4 linked regions of the Schizosaccharomyces pombe genome follow. Changing the gene in region 4 together with the main gene of any one other region gives a genetic interaction. Each region holds a gene or a part of one and is shown on either strand. Other genes may lie near its edges. The genes, in order: dri1, ppk31, mrf1 and opa3.

Evidence for each region.
Region 1: mutations in opa3 (region 4) and dri1 together harm fitness less than expected from each alone (positive genetic interaction), as found in Schizosaccharomyces pombe (one large-scale study listed by BioGRID).
Region 2: mutations in opa3 (region 4) and ppk31 together harm fitness less than expected from each alone (positive genetic interaction), as found in Schizosaccharomyces pombe (one large-scale study listed by BioGRID).
Region 3: mutations in opa3 (region 4) and mrf1 together harm fitness less than expected from each alone (positive genetic interaction), as found in Schizosaccharomyces pombe (one large-scale study listed by BioGRID).

Annotation. Positions count from the first base shown.
Region 1 is NC_003424.3:2,008,639-2,013,569, reverse strand, and holds dri1 (RNA-binding protein involved in heterochromatin assembly Dri1), read left to right. Parts: upstream 1-1,864; 5' UTR 1,865-1,874; coding exon 1,875-3,665; 3' UTR 3,666-4,225; downstream 4,226-4,931. Other genes in the region: rRNA processing protein Ebp2, read right to left, coding at 1-638; rdl1 (RAD51D-like protein 1), read left to right, coding at 4,729-4,931. UniProt on the Schizosaccharomyces pombe protein: Mediates heterochromatin assembly by promoting RNAi-mediated heterochromatin silencing and histone deacetylation. Binds pericetromeric transcripts and recruits the RNA-induced transcriptional silencing (RITS) complex to heterochromatin.
Region 2 is NC_003423.3:1,211,904-1,217,844, forward strand, and holds ppk31 (serine/threonine protein kinase Ppk31), read right to left. Parts: upstream 4,019-5,941; coding exon 920-4,018; 3' UTR 787-919; downstream 1-786. Other genes in the region: npp1 (nucleotide pyrophosphatase), read right to left, coding at 1-449; peroxisomal targeting signal receptor Pex5, read left to right, coding at 5,116-5,941. UniProt on the Schizosaccharomyces pombe protein: Has a role in meiosis.
Region 3 is NC_003424.3:568,270-572,567, forward strand, and holds mrf1 (peptide chain release factor), read left to right. Parts: upstream 1-1,898; 5' UTR 1,899-1,966; coding exon 1,967-2,137; exon of another isoform or gene 2,138-2,279; coding exon 2,280-2,378; exon of another isoform or gene 2,379-2,464; intron 2,465-2,483; exon of another isoform or gene 2,484-2,615; coding exon 2,616-3,536; 3' UTR 3,537-3,607; downstream 3,608-4,298. Other genes in the region: phospholipase D Pld1, read right to left, coding at 1-1,008; putatiRho-type GTPase-activating protein Rga8, read right to left, coding at 3,725-4,298.
Region 4 is NC_003423.3:2,932,654-2,936,896, forward strand, and holds opa3 (mitochondrial outer membrane lipid metabolism regulator Opa3), read left to right. Parts: upstream 1-2,037; 5' UTR 2,038-2,328; coding exon 2,329-2,436; exon of another isoform or gene 2,437-2,501; coding exon 2,502-2,659; exon of another isoform or gene 2,660-2,777; coding exon 2,778-3,168; 3' UTR 3,169-3,469; downstream 3,470-4,243. Other genes in the region: GTPase Ypt1, read left to right, coding at 336-346, 515-638, 690-737, 801-897, 1,057-1,388; ubiquitin hydrolase Ubp9, read left to right, coding at 3,558-3,584, 3,629-3,736, 3,786-3,799, 3,857-4,243.

The sequences.
Region 1 (4,931 bases), on a different chromosome or scaffold from region 4:
TGTTTACCAAACTTCTTGAGTTCTCGTTGTTTCTTAGCTTGCTGGGATAGTTTTTTAGCGGTTGCTTCTTTAATCAACTCTTGACGCACTTTCTCCATGTGGTCATCGGACTTTAACATTTCCGCAAAATAGTCATGAGGTCGGGAAATTAGAACATTCGCCTCACGAAGTTTGGCAAAAGCCGCCTTTACAGAGCTCACACCTTGTTTATAAAAGGCCAGTTCACGGGCAAGATCATCCTCAACATTTTCAATTATTATAGGCTCCTTAGTAGTAACAGCTTGGTTTTCAACAAACGAAATATCATCAGGATATTTAATTCGTTCATAGATGTTCTCTAGTGCAACAGTGTTATTTATAGCTAATTTTCTTTTTCTAATCAAATCAGCGTCTTCTTCCAACTCAATTCCTTCAAGATCAGAAAGTTCAACTTCATCTGATCCCTCAGATTCGTTCTCTTGATCAGCTGTATCAGCTGTTTCAATAATAGGAGATTTAATGGTATTGATCATTTCTTTCTCATTTAATGCCTCAACAGAAGTAGAAGATTCATTGCTTTCCTTGTTTTTCTTTTCCTTCATAGCAGCTTTAGCTGCCTTTTTCTGAGCTCTTCTTTGCTTTGATTCTATTCCTGCCATCGTTGTAGTCTAGTGTGTATTCTACACAAAGCTGAATTTGAATATTTTTCAAAGGTTTTGAAAAATTTGCTTTGTGCTACTTTGATTAATACAATCTACGATTAGGCTAACGGTGACAAAGATTTTTACTATTGCAGTTCACATCAAATAATAAAGAGCACATTTAGAATCGCTAAGCTGATTAACGTTGCGTTATATTACTCTTAGTCTTCATTTAGGTTGTACGGAAGGCATTTAATAAATCCTTAACGTAAATTTTAACCCTTTATTTGTCCGTATAAAATTCGTTGTATCAATTTTAAGCTATAACTTGGTCGCATTTTATCGATTGTAGAGTTATTGCTGATAAATTTATGTTTTGCTACATTACACCAACTCTAATTGAAATGACGGTAATTTAGTAAATTATCAGTTGTGTAAGTAAATTACTATCAGCTTTTTTATGTAGCAAGATGTACAAATACTTTTCAATGGATGGCTTTTCAGTATAACTTTTCCCTTGACTTCCTGATACAATTGTCAAAATAAACAACAGTTCTTTGATTGTTTACGTGGTTACAAAAAACCCCGGTATTGTTCATAAGATGTAAGCTACGCAGTTTGGTATCTGATTTAAGGATACGTAGAACTGCGGTGAGTTTTCCTTGTGATCTATTATATTACAATACACAGGTTGTATAAGTAGCAACTGAGTATAGGTATTGTATTAACTGGGTTATAATGTTAACTATCACTAATATAGCTCATAACTGAACTGAGGAACGAGGTTCAGCAGTAGCTCTATTTATAGTATTCAGATAATATTGATCTTAATAGATTATCATTAAGATCAATCTCCATATCGTATTATACATGGTACGATATATAATTAGAACATGTGACATATAGTGATACTCAACGTAGTGTAGTATTGCTGACATAAGAATACCAAATGCTTGATGCGCTAAATTATGGTATAATAATTTATCGTAAAATTTTCATTTTCATTGTGTTTCGAAAGTATTGCTAAATTTTCTGCTTTGCATGCAAAAGAATCCCACAACAATACACGATTCGACAGTAACATCAGTTGTACATATTATTGTTCATAAAAGATTTTTCTCCTTTGAATAATTCCGCTTAGGTGGATTCTAAATCTAGATTTGTTACTTTTGTGACTGTACTTGTGAGTGACAAAGAAAAACACCAACGGGTTTGTAGCTTTGCAATATCATGTCAAAGCTACCAAGTCCAACAATGCCTCTGCCAGAATCGGTAGGCGACTTGGTTGTTTTGCACTTTGAAACAAATCTTGACGATCACGGCATTAGCATTGGCCGGGCGCCATGTGAAATTCATGAAATATGCTGGGTTATATTAGATGGAAAAACTTTGGAAAAACAACACTGTGAATCGTGTAGTATTCGTGAAGATAGTTCTCGTCATGGAATTTGTGGTTCTGCTAGTTCCTTAACTGAAGCTATCTTCACATTGGATAATTCAATCCAAGAACGATTAAACTTCCAAGGAAAACCTTTTACATTTGTTGTTATGAATGGAAGAGAGCTTCGTGTATTATTGCCAAAAGAAGCACGGGATCAGGGAATTACGCTACCTTCCTACATGCGCCATCCTCGCTTGTTTGATTTATCAAGCGAATACGCCAAGTGGCAGATTCGCATGGGTGCAGTACCACCATACACAATAACGCTTTCTCATATTTTTGGTAAATTAGATGTCGACTCTTTACCACCTATTACAGAGTCAAAAGCAATTGAATTATCACCTTCAGATGCTCCTTACATAACCAAAGGTCTTACTCAATGCTGGCGCCTTGCAAATGCTACCACCTTATTGCTTCGTAAAGCAGAGAAAGATTCTCGAGGTCATTCTCTTCCTTCGGTGCTTACACAACCCATTAACTGTCAAGCAGACGCACGAAGCTTTTATGCAGAACGGTCAAAAATTGTACACGTTGCAGGTTTGACCAACGATGTAACACAGCTCGAGTTGGAAAGTTGGTTTACTAATCATGGGGTTCATCCCGTAGCTTTATGGACTTTAAAGACTCCCGAACCTTACAAATCTACGGGTACAGGTTTTGTGCTATTTGCTAGTCATGAAGATGCTGCCGATGCTCTTGCCTTTAATGGATATTGCTTAGGAGATCGGATGCTGGAAATTATTCCCAGTAGTACAAAGGTTTTAGATAAAGCTTCAGACATTCTAATTCCTTTTCCTTCTAGTAAGAATCGCCCACGCCCTGGGGATTGGAATTGCCCAATGTGCGGTTTCAGCAATTTTCAACGTCGAACGTCTTGTTTCCGATGCTCATTTCCTGGTCCTACTCATGTTTCAGCTGCTACTGGTAGCAATACTTTTTCACCTGATTTCCCTTATGGAAATTCATACGGCAACGGCTCCTCTCACTTTATTGCCAACTATGGTGGATCTGTCCATCATTCTAACGAAAATACCATGCAAAGTGATCTTCAGCATCAGAATGGCAATAATGCTGTAAATCATCATCATTCTTCACGCTCATTCGGTGGTAATGTCCCTTTTCGTGCTGGTGATTGGAAATGTGGCTCTGAGGGTTGTGGATATCACAATTTCGCAAAAAATGTTTGCTGCTTACGCTGTGGGGCTAGCCGTGCTACAGCTGCAGTCGTAGCAGATCATGCATCTGGGCCGGTGAATGGTTCGTATAGTCATAATTCATATTCTCACATCCCCCCTGTTATGAGTACAAGTCCTCCTAATCATTCGGTGTATCCTTACTCACAACTTTCTATAAATTCAGTAACGGCTAATCATGGTCAAAATTTTGGGGGACAAAATGGTGGTAATGTATCTAGGTTCGATGATCATGGACGCTTTAAAGAAGTATCACGTCCTTCCGTTACTACTGATCAAGGCGATTGGTTATGTGAGTGTGGATTTACTAATTTTCGTCGCCGCAGTAATTGTCTCCGTTGCAATGCTCCGCATTACTCTAATATGCAGATTCCTGCATCCTTGCCTTCGGATTTCAATGCTTACGTGTAAAGTTGGACAATTATATTTAATGGATAGGTCCCGTAGTACAAAGGATATTTGGTAAACACTATAGCTAAAAATGCAAGTGATTAGTGCGATAAAAATAATCACTTATGTCTTGAAGGAGCAAATTTGATGAAACAATTGTTATTATTTAAAGGCAGCATTTTGAAAAGCAACTCTATTGGAACAAAAATTTAAAAGTTGTATTGGGTTTTCTTATGAAGGTTTTGCATAAACATTGAATTACAGGTGTGGTCAAAATTAGTTCATAATTTTCTTTGGTGGGTTTTTTTCTTCTATTTAGTGCTATTTAATTTTTGACCTTGAAGAAATTTTCGGGGAAAAAACAGCAGTCAATCGTATAGAGCTCTCCCATATTTGGGATTTGGGGATTCATTTGTTTTGGAGTGTCACACTCATTGAACGTTTGAAAAAATGGTTGTTTACCTCTTACAGTTGTCAGTGCTGTTCAAATTTATAGGGTTCTTCGGTAAATAATGTATTGTTAATATTCCTTTTTTTTATTATATAATTTATAAAAATTTTGTAACGATAATGATTAAATCAATCGATACATGAGGTTACTTGTAATACATGGCATTATTAGAGAGAATTAAATTCGCATATGTAGCATTTAAAAACAGTTAGTTGATGCTTTTCTATTTTTTCTTTTTATTCTTAAAGGGTTATTCTCAATATATACAAATCCACACCAGTGTGGCTATATACTGTACTCGAATGTTGACGACCTTTCTGCTTCTTTAATCCATACCCTAATTAAATATAATCCATGTAGATAGTTCAACAAAAAACATGAGATAAGATTCAACACACACTCATGATTAGTTAAATACTTGTTGAACATTCCGGAAATTTTTGACGATTGTACGTATCTTTTCCTTCAACGCATTTGGGTGTTTATCTCTTTTAGAATGCCATTAGCATAACCAGGGGATGATTGCAAAAATCAATTTCATTGATCATCAATATCGTTGGAAAAAACAATTCTATCGAAAGTTTAAAGCATACCAAGCAAATTCTTAAAGCAGCTTATATATTTTCTGACATTATGAATCAGGTTACTCAATTTAGTGGAAATTCTGCAAACTTGATGCTTTACTGGATTCTAAAAAGTTATTACTCTAGGTTTGATAGAATTATGTGGATTGATACTTTAGGTACTTTCAATCCGGCTGCACTCCCTCTTCCATGTCTTGAAAAAACTATGTTGGTTAGATCATTCGATGCTCAGGGATTGAAGGATGCAGTTGA
Region 2 (5,941 bases), 1.7 Mb from region 4:
AATTGCTTCCCAGTTACAGGATCAAAAAAGTTGTTACTAACGATTCCATGGCTCTCGGGATATAAACCGGTAACAATAGTATAGTGATTAGGGAAAGTTATACTAGGAAAAGAAGGAATCAAAAAGGGAACATGGACATTACGTTCAGCCAGGCTCAGAAGATTAGGTGTGAACCCACGATATAAGTAATCAGCACGGAATCCATCCAAGGAGATTACGATGACAGTGGACTGAAAAACATTGGTCCCATTGTTGAAGGAACCTCCAACGATAGGAAAAATAATTGCTTTGAAGCAAAATAATTTCACAATTGCCAATATCAGAATTCCTAAAATGCAAATAGCGGCAATTGCTAGTCCCGATCGTTTTGCCCATTGATTCAAATAAGCCTTTCGATCATTTTTCAAAGGCAAATACTCGTTGGACCCAATATTAGCCCAACTAAACATTTCGGCGAATGTTCAAAATCAATGATATAAAGGAGTATTGTTAGGTATATCATATAATCTGTCAAATAATACTTACTTGAATAACGATGCGAAAAATATTGTTAAAATCATTTAACGCTTTCAAAGATATGCGGTAAACACTTTGTTCTAACTTACTTCAATTCGTAAACTATTCAGTCCTCTTAAATGTTCTGTCGTATAGGAAATGTCATCCTTTGAAACGTTTAGTGAAATGAGATAGCTTTTTTTCATATATGAAATTCAACTATTAATAATATTTGGATTCAAGGAGGAAACATCAACTTATGTTAGAAGCATTATTTGGCTAAAGCCTCAGAATAAAAGATTTTGTAGAACAAGTTTATTTGTCTTTTTACTGTTTCTGTATGGAAATATTAATTAACCATTTTTCAACTTATCATGATTCGTTCTGGATAGCGAACATGTTATGTCTATGGTTTTACATGATGTTAAAATAAATGGTAGCGATACTTTTTGTTAGGTCGTTTCTGAATTCGAAATTTCTCTTTATTTCTTTGTTGATTTTTGGGGAAATCGACCTCATCATACATTCGCAAAAGCGTGGCTTTGTTGTTGTAATTAAGGGCCTTTAAGTCTATTCCCTTAAACGCTTTGGTTATTAGTGAAAAAAGATCTTTTCGTTTTTGGTCTGTTAAATTTGTGGTCTCCTCCTCGGACGCAGAGAAAGCAGCTGAGTTTGAGGTTTCAGTACCACTGTCAGCTGGTGTTGCTTTTGGAGGAGGATGAAAAGCAAAAATACCATTTAGAATTAAAGTTGCTGACGTCTGACAATTATTTTTATTAATATTATCCGAACCGCTTATGTTTTTTTCAAAGTACGTCAAATCTTCAACATTTTCTGTTTGTGGAACGAACGGACCTGGCCCACTATTTAAATTATCCCATTTAATGGTTCGAAAAAAAGGATGTTTTTTGATTTCCTGGTATCCATTGCTACCCAGCCGTTTGTTACAGTCTGGATCCATGAGTTTGGTGATTAAGTCTACCGCCTCCTTTGAGCAGCTTTCTTTCACTCTTTTAGTCCAACCAATATCATTTCTCTCTATGCGAGCCCATATTGCTTTTACAGTATTTGCTTCAAATGGTCGCGTGCCAGTCAACATTTCGAATATCACACAACCCATCGCCCATATATCGCCCATCTGAGTATCAACGCCCATTAAAATTTCTGGAGCCATATAATTTGGCGTCCCTGAAATATCTTTTTTGATGAATGTCCGGTTTTCCTTTTTCTCTAACTGATTCATTAACATGTGTATTGCTGTTTCATCCATGTTATTGATATCAAAGTCAAGTAAATGCTGGACCGAGTCATTGGCATAATCACTATTTTGCTGTGGACTCTCCGCTTTCTCAAGCTCATCAATATTCCCGCGGTAATTTCGAACATATCTTACAAATTCGAATTTTTTAGGTTGAAGCTGCTCATACAAATTTCCATGTTTCTGTTCAAATGACATCCTCTTAGTAAGCTTATAAACCTCTTTTTTTTCCTCTACGTTTTCACTCAGTCCGAAGTCTGTAAGCCGAATATGTCCTGTTTCGTCAACCAACATGTTGGCAGGCTTTATGTCGTGATGGATGATTCCATCCTGATGCAAAAGCTCGATAGCATTTAGTAATTCAGCTGCGTACTGGCAAACCCATTGCTCTGGTAACGGTCCTAATTTTTGAATAAGTGTTTCACAATCTCCTCCATTAAAATAATCCATTACAAGGCATAGGTAGTCCCCAGAATCAAATGCATAATATAATTTCACTGTGTTTGGTCCATATCTTTGGATATGCATGTTACGCTTTTCAAGCAATAGTCCTTTTATTTTTTTTAAGCTATCAAGACTGGATTTTGGAATCATTTTAAGAGCAAAATACTTTCCTGAAGATCTTTTTTTAGCAAGATAAACCCTACCGTATGCCCCTCTGTTTATTTCTTTTAAAAGTATGAACTCGTCTAATGAGTGAGGAGTATTATCCCCAAATCTCCTATCATTATGGCTTGGGAACTGCATACTTTCGGTAAGAAAATGAACGATCGAGGCATAGAATTTGTTAACAAATTTCTGCCGATTTTTTAGAGGTCTCACATCCAGATCTTCAATTGATCCCTTTACCGCTTTAAAATAATCTATCCTTGTTGTTTTAAAGGTTTTAGACACAATTAAGTCTTTTTCTGTTAAGCGTTCTCCAATCTCAAAGTATTTTTTATGTCTTTTTATGGTAGATATACGTTCTGTTCGTTTCTGGATGTCATCGTAAATTGAATTATTATTTTCAACGTTCCCAAGGGCTAACAGCCTGTTGAAAAACACTGGTCTCTGTTCGGAAAGGTATTGGTTTACGCAAATTAGATTGGACAATTGAGCATTTCCAAAGTACAGACTTCCTTCGATGTTTTCCATCTCAATTGATAGCATATTCAAGGAGTACGTTTGAAGAAAATTTTTAACTTCATTAAACGTTGCTTGATACATTAAAATGTGATTACAGAGTTTTATTTTAGACGATAAATTTTTCAAAAGAAGTGAATGAACATCGTAAAAATAATCCTGGATCTTTGAGGGAACAAGAAAATCATACTCCCAATTCACCAATGATTTTTCATAAATCTCTCGCTTCATGTCTTTCGCGGCAGAATTTGAAATTGTCAAAAACGTTCGATGTTCTAAATAAGCAAAATTTTTAATGGATTTGTCCAGTTCCTTAACCAAAAAGTTCAGAGAGCTTCTCCATGATCGAATGCGAAACCTCTGTTTTCTGTTTTTCTTCCCGTTGAATACTGTTATGACCGGCAAGGAAAGAAAGGTTTCTTCAACCATATGATTACTACCCGTAGGGAGTTTGTTAACTATGTCTTCTATTTCCAGCTTCTTACAATTTATCAATTGTTGTACGGCGAAAACGCGGCGTACGAGATCATTCCAAACAAGGCAAAAATCGCTATGTACCTCAAAGTACCACTCTGGTAAATTATCTTCACACAACGAACATAATTTTCCTGAAGGAGGAGGAACGTGTATATAATTGTATTTGATTATTCCGAGCAAATGATCATGAAGAATGAAGGCACCAATCCCTAACGTGTTAAACAGGATGAAATCCATTTCGTTGATCACGGACCGTTGTGGATATAAATATTTTCCTGCCCACAAAACCCTTGTATCTTTACCATACAATGAGTCTACTAGAATGCCTCGAAAAAGCATTCTAATATACGTCTTTCCCTCAAATGGAGCTTTGGCTTGTTGAATATAATAATTAGGACTGCGTATTGGATTACATCTGAGAAAAGCAAAGACATGTGCAACTGATATGCTTTTTCTGAAAAGATTATCGGTTGCTTTCTTCATTAAGTGTTCATCATCGCTTTGAAGATACTCATAGAAACTACATTGAAATAAATCTCCTTCGTAGCCGATTAATTCAAAAAATGCAGGATTGGCATATTCCACTATTCCATTTTTTGACATTTCAATTTTCAGCAGAACTTCGTGGGAAAGTATCCTCTTCAATTGCTCTGGATTAGTCATTGTTTATCATAATTGAACACTTTAAGCTTCTTGGTATAAAAGAAATTGTATTCAAAGTTGTGTAAAATCAATGCAAATGGTTCTTACGCGATAGTTTTTCGGCAAAGACTTTTAATAGTTTGTAAGACTCGTATAATTTAAATACCTTTTTTTACTTATGAAGCGGAATTGTTGTTGTATACAATGTTTTCGTTATTATAACATCATCAATTTATTACTTGGCTTTATTAAATTCGCCAACTAATATGCTAATTCATAATGAGATCACAATTTGAACGAGCGATTTTTAGCACTTTAATTAGCGACAGGTTCTTTAACAAATATTTGTCGGATGTGAACTGTAGGTGGCATCAATTGGTATTAAGCAGAAAACAACCAAAACCATTGTTACAGCGAATATTGACTAGCGAAAATTAATTAGTTTTTTAATACATTTTATTGTGAGCGACAGAAGTATTTGGTGATTTAATTCATTTGGCGTTGTAATTTAGACAACAGGTGAATAAATAGATGTAGAGTTAATACTTCAATCCAACCCTTGGTTTAACTTTCTAATCACACTAATTTGAAAAGAACTTAGAAATAATATGGATTTTTTTCTCTGTATCATAAAGCTATGGTTTTAACATATGCAGCATGGTTTACAAAAGTATAATAAAATGTTGAAATCTAAATTCCTTAGTGGCAATAGATTAGTCTGAAAAAATAAAGAGAAAGTCTTTATTATAAATTGATATGGGTTAATGTGGTGTATTACAGAAGCGATTAATCTAACGTGCTACGCTCAGCATCTACATGAACTGAGCGCACTCATCTAAATATTTTTGTAATTGGTAATAAGCAGCAATACATGCCTGAGTTTATACGCAAGTTTTGTAACAATCATTGGTGCGATCAATTTTTGTTTTTTGGTTAGTTGCATCGTTACTTCTTCCGCTTTTTTGTTTTCATATTTTTGGTTTTTAAAACACATCGCAAATTCAATCAAGTTGCGAAATTTTTCATTCTTTGATATTAATTTTCTTACAACCTACTTAAAAAACTATTTCCTTTTGGTCGAGAGCCTTTATATTGGCTATAGTCTACTTTCTTCAAAAATGTCTGTTGAAGCAGGATGTTCAACGCTATCTAATCCTCTTAAGAAATTGACTTCCACAGCTGTTGTCAATAATTCAACACCTTCAGCTCAATATCGAAAACATTTAACCAAGTCTCAAAGTCGTACTTACGCTCCTTTGCAAACGCTGTCTGAGGATCAATTCACATCTTTCAAAAATCTCCAAGGAAACAATAGTCCTTTAGGTAATGTAGTTAAGAACCCAGTTAGCTTAAAAACTGGAAATCATACCGGCACAACTACTCGTGGAGGCTCGAAAGAAAATTGGGTACATTCTTTTTCTTCTCTTCAGCAGCAGAATAGTAAGTCGGCTTGGACATCAGAATTCTCTGAAGTATTTCTCAATTCATCTGAAAACGACCGTTTTCGAAACTTAAACCAACCTTTAAAACAATCTTTTTTTGGTTCCGCTGGACTAAATTTATCTTCAAATACTGAAATACCCTTACAAAGTTCTTTAGCTATTGACGAAACTGAGTTGGCTAAGAAATTTGAGGAAGCTTCTCAAATCTCCAATAAATTAGAGAAGGAAAAGGATGCTACTGGAAGTAAATCAATTGAGGAGCTATGGGAAGAGCATCAAAAGCAATTGAAAAACGCCGGGCTAGAGCCCGCAAGTTTAGAGGAATACCAGAAACAATGGGAAGATTTTTTAAAGTCAAACAATATTTCTGACGATCCTTACACTTCGTCTGTGAATAGCTTTGCTAATGATAATTTAGCTCATAATAAAAACATAGATCCTCAAATTTTCCAGCATAGCGATACTGATAACGTTGTTGAAAACTCTTTACAAACGGAAGATG
Region 3 (4,298 bases), on a different chromosome or scaffold from region 4:
ATTATTGGCATGCCTTGGTTGACCAGTCGTCCGATCACCATCTTGCGAATGTGACTCCCATGATATGTCAGAAATGCTATGTGTTTCATCAATAAGTTGGTCACTGGGATTGGAATACAGTATTTTTTGATAACCCCGGAGTTTCACCAAGTAAGGGAGCACTTCTTTTGGAAATTTAGGCAATTTCATGCGTCTTCCGGAAAATCGATGTTGAAATTCAAAAAAAAGAAAGTGTGAATGAAGATTTATGAAATCGCGCAACTGTCTGTAAATCAACCAACGGATAGCATGTGGCCCAGTACCATATTCAACTTGAATTGTGAAAGTACTGTGTATGCGATTATGTTTAGGCTCCACATCAAGCACTGAGACCTTTATTAGGTCGGTAATAATAGGCAATACCGGCTGCCCAGATTTATCTCGAATAAAATGCTTGGCTATAGGTAAAGATGCAGGTATGCCTGCTTCGAAAAGATTAATAGCAGGCAAGTTCTCCTTTAATATAGGCTTTTCATCTTCCCTTTTAAATTTGCGAACAGAAGCCATTAATTGTGCCCACATTTGTCTGGCAGAATTACGGTTTGCCTTACTTGTATGGGCAGCAGCTGCATCACGTTCGTCTCTCTCTAAAGGAGGAACTTCAACGTTCTCATCCTCCATTGTCTGTGTGATAAATTCTGGAGTTTGCACTCTTGTACTATCATTCGCAGCAAGATCGTTAACGTTTTCAGAGGCTGTATGCCAAGAAGACCCCCGGGTGTGTTCCAAATCGGGCCGTTTTGGAGGATTTAAATTAACAAATTCAGAGTAGTTTTTTGGATCATTCTCAGGAAACGATGGAATAGAATGGTCGACGTTTTTTTCAAGATCTGTAATTTTGGATGGTGTGTGATCTTCTGCATCTTTCCGTCCTGTCCCCTTTTCAGAGTAGATGCTATCATTTACATTTGTGTTTAACGAATAAGGTACATTATCAATCACTGAATTTCCACCTTGATGAATTGTCATTTTGTTATTAAATTAGCAATTGGCTAAAGTTTTTTTGAGACTCAGGGAAATCCAAGTCCCTATGGAGAAAAGCCAATGCTTTATAAATGAGTAAAAGCCAAGAGGGCTTTATTGAACAAATCCCAAAAACAGTTTAAGTGGTTTGGTAAAGCTTAGCTGCGCATTTCAAAATGAATAATACACCATCATGAAAGCTTGGTTAAAGTTTCGTTTAACTGCGCTAGCATAAATAAGGAAACTTTATGAACAATACAAATGTTTATTTACATCGCTATTGTGTAGTTTAATGGTATTTGTCCAATGGATATCGATGCTTCCTACAACCAAATTATTTTTTCTTGAAGAGTTCGTCTCCCTTTTATTGTAATCGTCGAGCAAGAGTTTGTTCAGCTCAACTTACATTAGCTTATCAAAATTAACAATACATATCTCTACTAGTTGTCAGCTATTCCTCACTAAATTATTATTGCACTATGTTAAATACCACTATATTGATTTACGTTTCCACTTTCAAAGTCGTTAATACAGCAAAAAGCTACACAAATGCCCTACATGAGACTTAGATATTTGCGTATTATGCTATTATAAACAATGTGCCTACGTTCCTCAATTCCCTGATTATTATACTATGCAGCATAGTTATTGCTAGCCAAATTAATTATAACTGTATTCGTGGCGACTCTACTCATAAAATAATAGCAAACTCTTTCTAGGTGTATAGATTCGTAAAAAAAATTTACGAGTTAAGAATGCGTACACAAAATTTTACTTTGCTGTGCACTGTCGGATTATAATGCATATCCGACAGAATTTGCAAGGACCTCCTTAAATATCATAAAAGTACTTATCGAAGAAGCACACCAAGGTCAGAAAGGCGGTTTTAACAGGTTAACACTAATTAGTTTTACTGCTAATTCTTTGAGTATGCAGAAATAAAAGAAACTCAAAATACAAGGTGATGCTTCTAACTAAAAAAGTTTTATGGTACTTTAGACATGGAATTGAATATCAAATTCGTAGCATTGCTTGCAAAAAAGGATACTCTGAGCATAACGTTTCAAGAGTACTTATTGAAAAAGCCCGATCGCTTTCTTCAGAGTATCTTCAATTCCATCAAGTAAATAATAAAGTAAGTGTCGGCAAACAAAGTGTGAAATCAGCCTGCTACTGTTCGAGATACAATAATAATGGTAATACAAGCATACCGGACATTAAGCTTTACTCATGAAAAATTAAAATCTGATATAAATGATCTAACTTATATCTTTTAGGATCAATCGGCAATGACAAACGATACAGATTTAGCAAAGCGAATCGCTAGGCTTCGACGCGTTCATAATGCATATTCGAAATTTAAAAGTTTGTCTGAGGTATGATATAAGACGAATTTGTCTCAAACTTGTAGTCAAAAGCTTTCCTTTTTTTTATTACTCTTCCTATTTATAGTAATCGATTTACAATGGTTTTTTTTTGCTAATGGGTCTATAACTTAAGACTTTTGCCAGGCATTTACTGTTTATCTAAGTAAAGCTATTTGATGAGCATGTTGAAATACTTAAATAACTAGTTTTTGAAAACCTTGATTTAAAAAAATTCTAACAATTTAGCAAATAAGCGATTTGAAACAAATGGAGGCCCAAGAGTCAGATGCAGAGGTTAAAATGATGGCAGTGACTGAAATAAACGAAATAAGTAATAAAATACCAAAAAGCATAGAAGATCTTGAAAACACATTACTTCCACAAGCTGATTCATATGCTCTTCCTGCATTAATCGAAATTCGTCCTGGTGTAGGAGGAACAGAGGCCGCAATATTTGCAAATGAACTAGTGGAAATGTATTTTCAGTATGCAAATTTTAAAGGATGGAATTGCAAATTTATATCAAAAAGTGCAGTCCAAGGACTTGAAGCGATAACGGAGGCCATCTTCTCTATTGAAGGTGAGGGAGCTTATGGTCATCTTATGTTGGAAGGAGGTGTTCATAGGGTTCAGAGGACTCCTGCTACCGAAACTAAAGGAAGAGTTCATACGAGTACTGCATCAGTAATCGTTTTACCTCAGGTGTCAAATGATGAATCCTCTTCTCTTTACGATTCATCTGAAGTTAAAATCGAAGTAATGAGATCTCGTGGAGCCGGTGGACAACACGTTAATAGAACAGAATCCGCCGTACGTTTAACACACATACCCACTGGTATCACTGTTAGCATGCAAGATTCTCGTTCTCAGCATCAAAACAAAGAAAAGGCATTTCTTGTACTGAATTCAAGATTGGCTGCCTTAAATGCCGCAAAAGAAAATGAGGCTGAAAGACTGAAACGTAAAAATCAAGTAACGTCTTCAGATCGTTCGGAAAAGCTACGAACTTATAACTTCAACCAAAATCGAGTAACTGATCATCGGATAGGTTTAAGCATGCACGATTTATCAACATTTATGCAAGGTGAAGAAAAATTTGACGAGTTTTTGGAAAAAATAAGAATATGGAATCGTGAACAGTTGCTATTACACTCTGAAATAGTATAGGAATGCTAATTTAGTCTAGTAAAATAGGAAGGTACAATAATATATGGTGGTCAAACTTCTATAGAGAAAAATGTTTATTAGGTATATGCAATGAATAATGAGAAAAGAATGTGCAACATGTCATGCAAATAAGATATCCATAACTGATCTTTAAAAAAGATCATAGGTTAACTCATAATAACATATTTTTAACTACCACTTAAACTGGAATCTCTTGAGGCGACTGCTTCGTTCACTATCTTTGCATCCTGATCAATAAAGATTGCGGCACTTTCATTGGAAGCAGAAGAATGGCTGAAATTACGTCTTGTCTTTCTAGTATTCAAGGCATACGACGATCTGATCAATGAGGTGGGCACATTTTCAAGAGTAAATTCAGATTCAGCGGGAATTTCTGAAGGTTGCAGCTCCTCAAACGAAGATCTTGGAGATTCGACAGCAGTATGAGATCGGACAGAAGAAATGGAGTCTGGTCTAGTTGGTGATACATCTGTACTCCGAGGAGTAGCAGAAGATTGATATAATACACGGTCAGAAACACGTTTGGATGAATTCAATTTTCTGAGTTCTTCAAAAATACTTGGTCCGTAAGTTAAAAGATCCTCCATGAACTTCGTTGGGTGCTTATCATGTTGAATACCCAAATTCCATGTTGCTGGACGGGAAATGCATAAAGATAAGGAGTTAGCTAAATTTATAGTAAAAGTTTCTTTATTTGGAGTAAGCGTAATCAAGCGATTTAGATGAGTAATGATGGCACTC
Region 4 (4,243 bases):
TTTTGGCGTTCGTTTGTACAGTATGGATTTTAGTTAAGTATATTTACAATTTAAGATTGACTGTAAAAACTACAAAAAGTTATAATTTTATATTAATTAACTTGAGTGAAGCCTTTGTCTGCACATATAATATATTTGTTTTGAAAACATATGAAATACTACGGAAAGTTAAGATACGCTAAACGAAATAACGATACTTAATATAATTAGCAGCATGATAGTAAAAGATTTGCCCGTGAGCATTCTTTGGGCTGTAGGGTCCCCCACTCCGCTGCGTTGGTATATGCGTAGACTGAAGCGAGCAACAGAACGTCCGCCATTACTGTGCATATACGATGAATCCAGAGTAGTAAGGATTTAGCATACTATTCAATACATCAGGAGCTAGAAATTAACAATTTATAGAGTATTTTCTTTCCAAAATTAAAGAATTCTTGTAAATTGGGCGATATAATTGCTAATCAATAGGTAATGAGTTTTTTTACCGTAAGAAGATGAATGCTAATATTAATAGATACGACTATCTCTTTAAGCTTTTACTTATTGGCGACTCTGGTGTCGGTAAGAGTTGCCTTCTTCTACGTTTTGCCGATGACACTTATACTGAATCCTATATCTCTACTATCGGAGTTGATTTTGTACGTCCGTTTTCAAGCAGCTTAACCATATTTATTGCTAACTTTTTTTAGAAAATCAGAACTTTTGAATTAGAGGGAAAGACTGTTAAACTTCAAATCGTAAGTGATAGTTTACTTCTCGTTGGCGTTCCGGGATATTTTTTTATTAACGATTTATCATAGTGGGATACCGCTGGTCAAGAACGTTTCCGTACAATTACTAGCTCATACTATCGTGGAGCTCATGGAATTATCATCGTATACGATGTTACCGATCAAGGTATGTAATGTGTGAAGTATGGAAAACCAATTTGATTGTCTTCCGTTTTCTGTATATGCGCGTATATGCGTTATAAGGCGTTTGGGGGATATTTTTATGGCGTTTTCTAGTCTTCACATTGTTTCCGACGCGGTTCCGAGGCTAATGCTTGCTTCTTAGATTCTTTCAACAATGTTAAGCAATGGCTTCAGGAAATAGATAGATATGCCGTTGAAGGAGTCAATCGTCTTCTTGTAGGAAACAAGTCAGATATGGTTGATAAGAAGGTTGTTGAATATTCTGTTGCTAAGGAGTTTGCTGACAGTTTGAATATTCCTTTCCTCGAAACGTCTGCTAAAGATTCTACAAATGTTGAGCAAGCTTTCTTAACTATGTCCCGTCAAATTAAGGAACGTATGGGAAATAATACATTTGCCTCTTCCAATGCCAAATCTAGTGTCAAGGTTGGTCAGGGCACTAACGTTTCCCAAAGTTCCAGCAACTGCTGCTAAACTACATGTTTGTTGGTTATACCTCTGAATGCGCTTTTAATATATTTTTATATACATACGTTTTACGTACTTCGCTGTCATTCCTTTTGTGAGTTTCATTCGCTGACGGTGAACTGCTAATATTAGGTATCTACTTTCTGAGTTTTTACGATACTTATAGAAAGTTATTTGTAGGTTTGGATGCATGCTACGTTTCCCTTTTATCAACGGTAGTTTAAAATCTTAAGCAAAGCTATGTAGAAAACTGCTAGTCTTATGTACTTTATTTTGTAGCGTGATATGATAAACTGTTGTAAACGTTGTATAATACGCGTATTGCTCATTAACTAGCACTTTACAGTATTCCCTAAAACTATAGTTGCTTGGAACTATTTGCATAACATACGGTTCGCTAACAAAAGTCATTAACTAAAAATCAAATATATAATAGTAAGTCAAAGGTTGAATGGTATGTACGTTACATTAAGAAATGAAAATACAACTGTACTACTAAGGACAAGTATTGATAACTGCGACACTAAAGTTTCTAATACAAGCAAAATATTAAGCACACACAGGGATCGGTGTAAGAAGGATTAGTAAACCAATCAGAGAAACCGACAGAATATGCATATCAAGTTCAGCAACATCAAATTTACTTTCCTCTTCCAATAACTTTTCTAATTAATAGATTAAAAAAATAAAGCACGCACTTGGTGTTGCGGTTTTAAATATTGCTATTGATTAACGGAAGAGTATATCTTCGACCTTGCATAAATATCCTAGCTATTGTTACACGCTTATATCTGCATTCTAATTTTATCGGAGATTTCTTTCTTTTATACCTCTATTTAATTGAGGTGGTAGTACTTTTAGTCGGTAATTTGAAATCCTTTGCGGGTTTATTCCCCCTCGAATATTTTTGAAGTTCTGGTATCCATTAACATTTCTCTACAATCCAATGTCTTCTCTAGCCTTAAAAATCGGAAGCTTGTTAGTAAGAACATTATCCAAACCGATTGCCAATACAATCAAAGCCCAAGCTAAAGAGCACAAGGCTTTCCGAAAGGTATAAATCAGTAAAATAGATGATAAAGAGAATCTTATAGCATTACTAACGAAATTTCTATATAGGCATGTATTGAATTTGCTCAATGGATGCATCGCGCGGAATTTAGAATAACAGGAATTAACAGAGCTAAAAGTGGAGGAGCTAATGTACGATTACGACCTTTAAACGATGCCAAAGCAGTCGATGCTGGTGCAACATTTTTATCAGAAACTTTTATATTGTATGAAAATTAATACGATTTGACGTACTTCCTCTCCACAATGCTTAATACGGCACATTGTGAAGGAGCTACGAAATCCAACTTGTCACAATGTTCTTCTCTTGCTAACAATTTACAGTACTGTTGCTGGAGGAGCCATTTTATTTGAAACATGGAGGGCTCGTAGAAAGGAAAAGAATAGACGAGATGAAGTTGCTGAAGCGATTCTTGGTTTACAACATGAAATCGTTCGTATTAACGAAATCATGGAAAAGCAGTTTGTTTTACAGAAGAAAAAGAATGAACTCCAATCTTCGACTGAGGAAATTGATAGTACCGAAAAGGATTTTGACGAACTCCACAAAGTCATTCTTAAAGTTGAACGTGAGCTCCATACTCTTCGTCAAAACACGCCAAGTCAGAACGAGCAAGCAGAAGCCACTCCTTCAAAGGAAATCCCACGTGAAACAGTCTCAGAAAAGGCAGATCATCCTCCATCTTCTAACACCAAATCGGTTTCTACAGGTTAGTGGATGGTGAATACTACGATTACACATAACTTGCATTAATGAGTAAATTTTGATACATTGCAGAAATTCATCTGTTCCCATTTCACCAAACTGATGTTTACTTTCTTTTAATTTATTGTACATTTGATACTTCGTTTAACCAGATCACATTTCCAAAATTAGTTACGGTTTATTTATAGCTTTTTTGACTTAATATCTACTGAGTTTTATCGCTCATTTTACAATACATTGCACTTCGTTATTTTAGATAGTTGGCTGTTAATATAATAATAGCCTAAGATTATGATCACCAACGTACGCCCCTTTCTGAGCGCGTGAAAGCTTCCCTTTGCGTTCACTTCCCCGCTGTGCTTGGTTTGTAAACTTAGCATCCTTTAGTTCAACTCAGCATGTCGCTGCTTCGTTGGATGGGAATGGTAATTCAATTGTTAGTTATGAATTGAAGACTGACAAACTATAGAATTCCCCAGGCTCCACTGACCGGCGTAAAAGCACTTGGGAAGCAGAGTTGCCGAAGCCATCAATTCGCCCTGAAACCCTAACAGATCGATTCTATGGTTTAACAAATGTAAGCATTTTTATTAGTTATAATTTCTTCTGCTCTAACATATTTTTAGTATGGAAATACATGGTATGGCGATCATACTTGTAGCGTTGCTTTTATGATTGTAAATTTCTAACGAAATAGTTACGTGAGTTCTGTCTTAGTATCTTTATACCATTTAAAGCCCTTTCGTGATTCTTTAAATTCGTATCCTCTTCCGAGTGCTCCTCCAAATTTTAAAAGCGTTTGTACAAAAACCAACCATCCTGAATCATCTTCCTCACGACACAGTAAGAAAAAGAGCATGGAGAATAGGAAGTCCTCTTTATACGGGTCCAATGGTATAAATTCTTGCGGCTGTGTCGATATTAGTAACGTCGGCTCTGAATCCGGGACGAAGCATCAAATCGTTGTAGGCGAAAGCAATTGTTCTGCTTATGGAATGAAAGAAAACATATATACTTGTTTAAAGGATCTTTATTGCTCCGTAAGTTGCTGTGATTGTCGTTATGGTATTTGTTCTCCCGAGCG